Linked DNA regions of Schizosaccharomyces pombe. The gene in region 1 interacts genetically with each later gene. Each region holds a gene or a part of one and is shown in the gene's direction. Other genes may lie near its edges.

The links.
Region 2: of prr1 (region 1) and ecl2, changing one suppresses a phenotype caused by changing the other (phenotypic suppression), as found in Schizosaccharomyces pombe (one study listed by BioGRID).

Annotation. Positions count from the first base shown.
Region 1 is NC_003424.3:3,664,007-3,669,608, forward strand, and holds prr1 (stress-responsive DNA-binding transcription factor Prr1), read left to right. Parts: upstream 1-1,925; 5' UTR 1,926-2,000; coding exon 2,001-2,030; intron 2,031-2,127; coding exon 2,128-2,217; intron 2,218-2,973; coding exon 2,974-3,053; intron 3,054-3,106; coding exon 3,107-3,164; intron 3,165-3,307; coding exon 3,308-4,669; 3' UTR 4,670-5,081; downstream 5,082-5,602. Other genes in the region: translation initiation factor eIF2B epsilon subunit tif225, read right to left, coding at 5,299-5,602. UniProt on the Schizosaccharomyces pombe protein: Involved in oxidative stress. Transcription factor that acts upon trr1 and ctt1.
Region 2 is NC_003423.3:960,445-964,509, reverse strand, and holds ecl2 (protein Ecl2), read left to right. Parts: upstream 1-1,994; coding exon 1,995-2,249; 3' UTR 2,250-3,503; downstream 3,504-4,065. Other genes in the region: SPOM_SPBP35G2.17 (uncharacterized protein), read left to right, coding at 235-555.

The DNA of each region.
Region 1 (5,602 bases):
ATCTTGAAGCCAAGTCTTCCTACCCAGATGGGAAATTCAAGACAAATGCTAGGAATGTGCAACAGATCATGTTTGCTAAAAGATATTGCAAGTGTGTGTCGTTTGACTTATTGACTGGACTAGTCGACGCGTTCATCCCATGAATAGGGGATTTCGCAAACATTTCTTATTGCTTTTAAAAATGGAAGTGCAGTTTTGTTATTACTTTTAAAGTAAAAAAGATGTTGCTGTTATTTCTTTAATGTAAATTAATTATATTTTACTATTTGCATTAACGAAAAACGATGCAATATCTAAATTACTTTTAGGGCACCCCTTATCCTTGCTATGTTAAATCTGTCATGGATGTAATGCTATTGCTATTGCTATTGCTATTGCCAGTGTAATAATAAACCGCGGAGCTGAGTCAGCACTAATAGCGTCATACCCTTATCTCTGCACTTATCGTATCGCTCGCCATCTTTTTTATAATTTTACGAGCGGAGAAATTTTTTGATGCAAAAGATATTTAACGAATCAATACATTGTCTTCTAATCCAATAACTACGTATTCTAAGGATGAATACTTTATAATGGGATTCTATGAGAATATTTATTTCGTTTATATAATCTTATGAAGCATTTCAAATAAGCATAACATGTATCTATTCTCTTGTTCGAAAACCGAGCCAAGGGATCAGGGGTCATTTCTAATGAATCAGGGGACTTCTTTTTCTTTCTCAATTCTTATTTTGTTTCCCTTTGTTGATAATGTAAAAGCCTCGTTTAATTGAGTACAATCAGCAAGTGAGGAATCGGTTTATTTCGCTTTCCTTTTCATAGAAAAAGGGACTCGTCCATCAATGTCCTGGCGTCGTTTATTCAAACTTTGTCATTCGGTGCTTTTTAACAGGCAATTTCCGCTTTTGCTGGTCGATCTGTATGCGTCAAAAGTTTTGTCTGGTCCGGCATCACACGATGTTGACAAAAAAATCATCATCCACTGCAAGGTGTAGTGGGTACACAAAGTTGGGTGTGTATTCCCAAATTCCAATGCATTTTTATAATATGCGATAAGCTCCCATAGCTAATCACTTGTCCTTTAACGTTGAAACTACTGTACACAAAGGTAGACCGCAGCACACACACTTGAGCATTCAAAGTAAGAGCGTCTGCTGGATATTCTTATAGCAAGGTCAATTGTGTTGAATGCATAAAGAGCATCTCTTTTCTGAATGGTTCAACGAGCATATTGCACAGTGGATTCCAATAAAAAAAATAAAGGAAACGTAAACGATCGAAAAAAAAATGCTTTTTAAAAAATCCCGTGTCAGCGTTTATACCAAGGAAATATCGCATAGTGATCCTTTTGCTCTACATACTCCACGCATGCACCATCGATACACTACCAAGAACCGCAGCAACTCAGCCTTATTACTGTGTCATCCATCCCATGTGTTTATTCTTGCTGTGCCCACAGCACGCTTGCACAAACGTATGTGGGACGGTCGTTACGTCTGCGATGATGACTGCCTAGGGAGCCCCGCGCGCTTTAGCCGGTTCAGGAAGAGTTTGGGATAATGCAGTACGATGGTATGCACTATACTAGATTTAACTTTGCAACGTTTCGCAATCGGTGAACAGCATCATCAAGTCAAATCAAGCACCGTAAAGGAGAGAGATCAGTACGAAAGATCCCTTTTCTGGAGGGTAGTGAAAAAGACAGTAATATGCGGGTTTCGCATTGTTTTTGAGGGTTCATTAATTGAGAAGTTTTTGCTGCAATTAACGTTAAAAAATATGTCGAATTTGCATTGCCGATCTCCTGCCGTTCATCGTTTAACCAACGTTGCGTAAGCTAACACGCCCTTGTGAGCATCGGCAAATAGCCACATGGAAGCCTCGAGGGTGTCATATCCACCACACCTCAAAATTTGCAACTCTCCAACAACCAACAACATTGTTGAAAAGGTGAAGATTTTTTGTAAATACGACCGTTTGGTCATATATTAAACGAGAAGATGCCGTCTTCGAACGGATCCTCCGACTTTGTATGTTGGTTCCTTTTTCCGATGAATTTTTTATAATTATAAAATTTCACGTTTCGTGATAAAACTATGTTTTCTCATACTAACGTTGTTGAATTAGGTGCGAAAACTCTTCAACATGTTGGAAGAACCCGAATATAGGCATATCCTGCGCTGGAGCGATTCTGGGGATTCTTTTATTGTGTTGGATGTAAGAAATCCTTGAAAATTTGTTTGCTGGATGTAAAAGAGAGAAGAAAGGAAGAATGAGTTATCATTATATTTATCGCCGCCATTGTTGTTATTTAACCAGAGAAAGCATTCTACTTTTATTGTTTATCCTCGAAAAGCTAGTAAAAGAGGGGAGATTTTTTTTGAAGGTTTGCTAAAAAATAATTTTTTTACTATTCTTGATTTGTTTCCTTTTTCTTTCTGATTACAACTTGAATTAAAAAGGATTGACAATGATGGGAAAGGAATCTTTTGAGGCAGCAAGAGATTCCTATCGCAACAATCGGGTTGTTTTATTACAAAAATCGCTTTTCTTTTTGAAATAAAACAATTCTATTCGTTGTTTTCTTTTTAGTATTACCAATGTTACGCTGAAAAACGTCCAGTTTGCCCGTAAACCTGAGTCGTCGAATTTGCTTTGTTTCCATACCCTAGTACTTTGTCCTTTTTTTTCGCATTGCATCTCGATTTTTTCGAACAGACTTATTCCTTGTCATCATCTTTTTTGAGTAATAGTTTTTACATCTCTTAGAGACCAATTTTATTTTTAGGCCTTACCTTCTTTTTAAACTTTGGCTTTTGACTAGCTATTCTTCTAGTCTTATGTTTTTTTTTCTCTTACGTTTGCATTTTTCTCCTTTCTTTGTCACTCTAATCTACTTTTCCGCATTCAAAATTCCTTTTTCCCCTTTCCCCTTTGTTTCCCTGAGTTTATCACTAACTTACTGCTTTTTAGACCAACGAGTTTACAAAGACCATTCTGCCTCGCCACTTCAAACATAGTAACTTTGCAAGTTTTGTCCGACAACTCAACAAGTATGAGATATTTTTATTTATTTATTTTTTTTTTACACTTGCTAATCGTCTAGATATGATTTTCACAAAGTACGGCACGAAGAAGGCGCGCCGAGTATATATGGTGAAGGGGTATGTCATATGGGTTAAGGATTTAGGGGCTTCATACTTGTTGAATAGGTTTGAGAAACAAACTTGTCTTCATTCCATCATACTTGTAAAAAAGCCATCCCTCCTTTTAGAATTTCTATTATACTAATCATTCTCTTCTTTAGGCTTGGGAGTTTCGTCATGACGACTTTCAGCTTCATCATAAGGACCTGCTCGACAATATTAAGCGAAAGGCTCCGTCCAAGCGCAATTTAGCTAACGAGAACACTGCTCCAGTTATTGAAAACCTAAAACAGCAGGTGGATTCTATATTAGACTTTCAAAAATTACTTGATAGAAATCTTTCGGGTCTTGCCACAAGTTACCAAACGATACTTCTTAAAATGTTTGAACTCAAGCGGGGGATTGAGTCTAGAGATTTGCTTATGAGTAGCATCATATCTTACCTCTGCGATTTAGAGGGATCTACTCAACGGCAAGCTAATCCCGGAGCCATGTTTGTTCCCTCTCATCCTCTCCAGGAGTTATTAAATGCATACCAAGCGTTAGCGAAGGGCCAAGTTGCAACTACTTCTCCACAACAGATACCAAATCAAATTCAACAGGCTTCCGCTGCTACTACCGCTTCTTCAAAGATGACTGTTGACACCAATCTTGGCACAGCACAACCTTCTTTGTATAATACTCCTTCATCTGATTATGAACTGGCAAATCAGGAAAAGCCGGCAGACTCCATGGCCTCTGCCGCCTCTCTAAATACCCCTTTATCATCTAATGACCATTCTTTGAATCCACACGCCCATGGCTCATATCCGATGTACGAAAAATTTCAACCGATTCAGCATCCAAATCCAGGAAGCTTTACCACCCATCTTGACTCCAATGCTTCCATGGCAAAGTCATTTTCTCAAATTTCAAACGATTCCCTTGCCAAAGCTAGTTCAGTAGCAACGTCCATGTCTCAAATGGGCGCTGCTGTTCCAACTACTGGCTTGTGGAAGCGGCAACCAAGGATTTTACTTGTCGAAGATGATGAACTTTCTCGTAGAATGACTATCAAATTTTTAACTTCATTTGATTGCCAGGTCGATGTAGCTGTCGATGGAATTGGTGCCGTAAATAAAGCTAATGCTGGTGGATTCGATCTCATCTTAATGGACTTTATACTTCCTAATTTGGATGGACTGTCTGTAACCTGTTTAATTCGTCAATACGATCATAACACACCGATTTTGGCTATAACTTCAAATATATCGATGAATGATGCAGTTACCTACTTTAATCATGGTGTAACAGATCTATTAGTTAAGCCATTTACAAAGTTGACTCTACTTCAACTTTTAAAAAAGCAACTTTTGAATCTTTTACAAGCGGATAACTCAATTAATATGTCTGATGTTCCCTCCACGAAAGAAGCTAAAGACGATAAGGCTCCTGTGACATTTTACTTAGAGAATGATGCTCCTATGTATCCTCAACAGATGTTACAGGATCCCATTCAAGCAGACTTACAGCATCCACATTGATGGAAAAGTCTTAATGTTATATATTTCTTATTTTTACTATCAGGTCTCTTTTACTTTTGTTTTATATAAAAAACTATCTATCACTTCTGTTTGATTTAGTTAAAGGTTTAATCTTTGGTCTATGTATCTATGTTCTCTTTGGGGTTCAAGTTAAGGCTTTCTTTTCGAAGAAAGGCTTTTCATATCCCATGACTAGTTGTTTAAATTCCACAAATTCCAAACAGTGTCGGAATTGTCTTTCATATCAACTACAACTAGAAACATGTACAGAAGAGACATAATCAATATAACTTTTCAGTTTTTGCATTGTATTTTAGCCACTATTTTCTTCGGTTTGCTCAAATTATATTATCTTCATTCGCTTGTTGTATTTCTTACATTTCAGCTAAAAATATTGAATTCGTCCAACTGATATTATCGTAAATAACTATGCGTGTAATTAACAGAATAGTGCTGGATTTTAACAACGCGCCCTGTAGACCAAAATTTTATTTTTCTTCTCTATCGTATTATTATTTGCTAGAAAATAATAGCCAGCTAAATTATGAGTGACCCTTTTTTTTTGAGTAGACAGAAACCACTTTCATAACACTGTTTTAAGTCAGAGTTCAGGATTTGTAAGGGAACTATTATTCTGACCCTTCTTCACTCTCGCTTTCACTTTCAGCAGTATTCAACCAGTCGACAAATTGTTTGCCACCGGCATCACGAAGCGCAGCCAATTCTCCTTCGCTAGAGCGGGGATCAGAATACCATTCTTGAATGGCATTCTCTTCAGCAATTTCTAATTGGTAGAAATATCCCAAAAGTTGTAAAAAGTGCCGAGTCATACTCAAACGGACACAGTACTTCTGCAGCGTTAATACGTTGTCAACTTGCTCTTCATGGCTAAATGTCAGTTTTGCAAGCAATGGACCCCAACGTGTCATTACT
Region 2 (4,065 bases), on another chromosome or scaffold:
GATAGATGTACCTATGTGGGATGTTTTGCATACCTACAGAGGAAGCACAGGTGGGATCGGATCCAGTAGCTACTACAGTTGGTGATTGTTACTGTTGGCAGAGTGTTGCATCCTAGCTCTTTGCTGAGGAGTTATTGCTTCGTGGCAAACTACAGAGTAACACGTGCTAGATCCCGCGAACGTTAGATTCAAAGATCCCAAACACTTACAACAAGGTTACATGAGTATAAGTAAATGGTACGTGAATTCTACGTTACCGGTCGAGGCAGAAAGTTGCTTCCGACCGTCTTCAGAATCAAGTCATTCCATGGAATTGTAAGACAATGTGTGAAACAACAACGAGATTTCACTTCTTTTTTAGCTAGTTCTCCCGCTATGGGTGTCGCACAAGGACAACAGGTAAAATTAATTTTGATGCTACTCATTGAGACATGGGAAACAAAACATCAATCATGCCACAGTCATTTCATTTTATTAGAATTCACTCATCTTTTTGTACGCAAGTTTTCGCAAATATTTTTCGAGTTCCGGTTGTTTGCTCACCTACTATCATAAATACAATGTATAATCAATAAACGATTCGCACTTTGTCGTTAGAAATCGAAAAAAAATAAATAAATAAATAAATAGATATATAAAAGTAAAACCATTCTCTAATAGTGAAATATATTTATATCTCTATCATGTGTAAATTTTGTTTTATTATTTTTTCTCTTTTTATTTTTACTTCTCTAGTTCTCTATTATTGAATTCCATTTATTTTATTCTATTTTATTATAATTTAAACTAATTTCTTTTTTTTCTCATTCATTCCCAACCGTCAGTTTAATTTTTCATCCCTGCCCTGCACATCTTTATACATGCTATATTTCGACCCCACCTATCGCCTTAAATCTCTCGTTGAAAAAAAGTCATCATCACCATGGTTCTCCATTTTGCTCCGCTACTGACTGCATCGGTGCCTCTTTTTACAGTCCAAAGATGTGCGATCAGCATCATGTTGTTGTGAGCTGGCGTACAACTGTCTTCTCACATGTATTTTTGGGGTTTAAAGGCGGAGAATATGATGCGAAAGGTCGCTTAAAGTGAGTAGAAGAGTATTCGAGAATTAAAATGAAAAAATAAAAAATGTAGTGTGTTTTTACTATTGTATATGACACCCCGGCTGAGCTAGCGTTTGTGTGTGCATTTAGTATGCGAGTTAGTACACACAGTGTTTTTCTCGGTTTCCCACTTCCGACTCAAATCCCCCACATCAGTCGTTCTGCTTTCTTCTCTTGTGTGTTGTAATCAAATTATGAAGAGGTAACATTGTACGCAACTCACGCAATGTATTAGCATATGCAGTCGGTCGGATGTGCATTATGAGATCAAACACAGTGTATGCTGTTTTCTTAACGTATTTTACCGATAGTATGGTATCTCAGGTCAGATCATCTGGACAGATTGCGTGCGCAGTTTTCAGATGTATATATAGAGCGCAGCAGTCCGACTGAGAGGTCGTAGAAGATTAACATATAGATCAGCAAAGGGTTTTTGACTTATACTCGCTGTTCTTGATTGCTTGAACTAAACGAACTGTCCTTCTTAAGTGTCTCTTGTTTTCCTCGACAAACAGTTTCGCTGTGTGATTGAGTAGAACTCACTTTTCCTCGTTTTCTCCATCCTAACCTCTTTTCGTCTTGTTGAATCACCCGCAGGACTCATCTCTTCCTTGAAATTGAGAAGGATTTGTTTTATTTTATTGTGAAGCTAAGTTCTTTTCTTTCTTCTTCCTCTACTAAATCGGAAATATCTTCCAAACGTCCCGTATATTTCGACTTTGAAATTTCTTTTTAGTCCGCTTTATACGCTCATCCGTTTTATCTGGTTTTCTTCAATAGGATCCAATACTAGCTCGCCTCAGCTTGGCTCATTCATTGGTTTTTCCTCGTTAACAAGTCATTTTAATTTTCTTTTTCTAATTTCTTCATCCTTTTGTATTCGTTAGAGACATGGATTTGGATTATTGCATAATTTGCGGAAAACCCACTACTGGCAACTTGTATTGCTCTCGTGAATGTCATCTGCAGGATTGCCCCGGCTGTGGTTCGACTTCGGAGCAGTGTTCTTACTCTAAGTCGGCTGATCTTCATATGTTATCTTCCCAATATTTAGATCATTTCCGAAGAAGGTCTTCCATGCCTTCCCCATCCACTTCGTCTTCTCTTTTGAACGGTTTTGTCGCTTCCAGACTTGCTGTTCTTTAATTTTACCTTACATTGCATTATTCCAACGACGGTGTCGTTGATATACACACATTCATTGCCAACGGCTCAAAAAAATTATATTTCATTTCTCTCTATCTCGGTTTTTTTTTTCATTTTCTCCTGTTTAATCTGGGAAAATTTATTTACTTATTTCTTTATCTTCCGGTTCCATTTTATTTTTTATTTCTCATGGGTACTTATATTTAATTGTGCCTTTTTTTAAACCTATTTTTATTTTATAATTCTTATAACTTGAAGTTTTTTTTTTCAAATTATTATGATACTTAAAAATTTTTATGCCTTTCTTAAATGATGATCACTACACTAACCGTGTGTGAATAGTTGATCATTGATTTTTGCGGTTCATACCGTGTATGTTTCTTAAATTGATAGCCAAGCATCCTTACATACTATCTTAAATTTCCAAATGATGTTGGTGCGTATATTTTGTTTATGCACTTCATTATTTCATGAGTTGTACAACTTAATTCGTTCACGCAATGTTGATGGTATGTTTCCATTACAATGTTTGTTTGGCTTCATTGGGGTTTTTTATGATTTTCTATGATAACGATATTGTATGAGTGGATTTGGTACTCGGACTTTTTCGTCAATTCGTAATGGCATTTTTTATTTCTTTCGAAATACGATGGATATTTTTTACGATTCTTTTATTCTTATGATATGGACTTTTGTTTCGGTGTGTCACGCAACTATTCTTACTTCTTTTCTGCAATCGCATTTTATTTGCACTGTCTAACTGTATTCGAGATTTGTCATTCGTGCTTTTTACATTATGCTCTGGCATCTGGGACAACTTTATGCTGAGTTCTTCTGAGCGCGTATTTTTAAAATACATAGAAGCTCTAGGCTTTCCCTCACTTCATCATTTCTTTTGCATATCAACATTTTGCATTGTCCCATTGGTTTTGAAGCTTTAGAGTTATTTATGTGTGTCGTGCTTTAAGTTCTCAGTTTTTGGCTCATCGTTTACGTGGGATTTTTGCATTAGACAATTTTTAGAGGTTGCGTATCAAACTATTTTATACCCAAGCACTTTGTTTTCTACGAATCGATACGGACATTTAACTGGCATCAGTACTTTAAAAAACGATAAAATATTTATTTTGATGAAATTTATATTGTTATGATAAAAAAAAAGCATAAAAATTGAAAACGCTTTTAAAAATATTCAATTTTATTAAAGTGCTTTGGTTGCTAGAAGAAAAAATAAAATTAAAAAATTAACGTATATCTACTGTGGTTGACATGTAAACGAATTATTTTGTGCGCAAAGGTAATACATAAATACTGGCTGAATAATAAAAGCGCTTTGTACAGCAGTATTAGGTTGAAAGGTTGTTTTACTTTTCTAGTTAAGTGTTCATCTTTATTCAAATGGATCTATTTGGGATGCCAACTAGAGGGCAGGAATTAGCAAAAATAAATTTAATAGTAAGTGCCCACACCAGGAATCGAACCTGGGTCGCATCGGCCACAACGATGAGTCTTAACCACTGGACCATGTGAGCATTTGTTATAAGAGCTCAAAATAGAAATACATATTTAGAAATTTGAAACTAAAAATGAAATTGTTAAATGCAGTAGAACTAAGGTGGATTAAGACTCTAAAAAAAAAATAATAAATAGAAAGAAGTTGTTTGCATAAAGTCAAAGGGTTAAAAAAAATATCATTCTTTGTCGCGTAAACACTTGATTCTGTTGTTCTCGCGTACTTCTTCCCATCAATTTGATTCCAGTAAATTAAACGCGGGCGTCTTCCTTACACATCTCATTTTTTTGTGTGGCTTTTCAA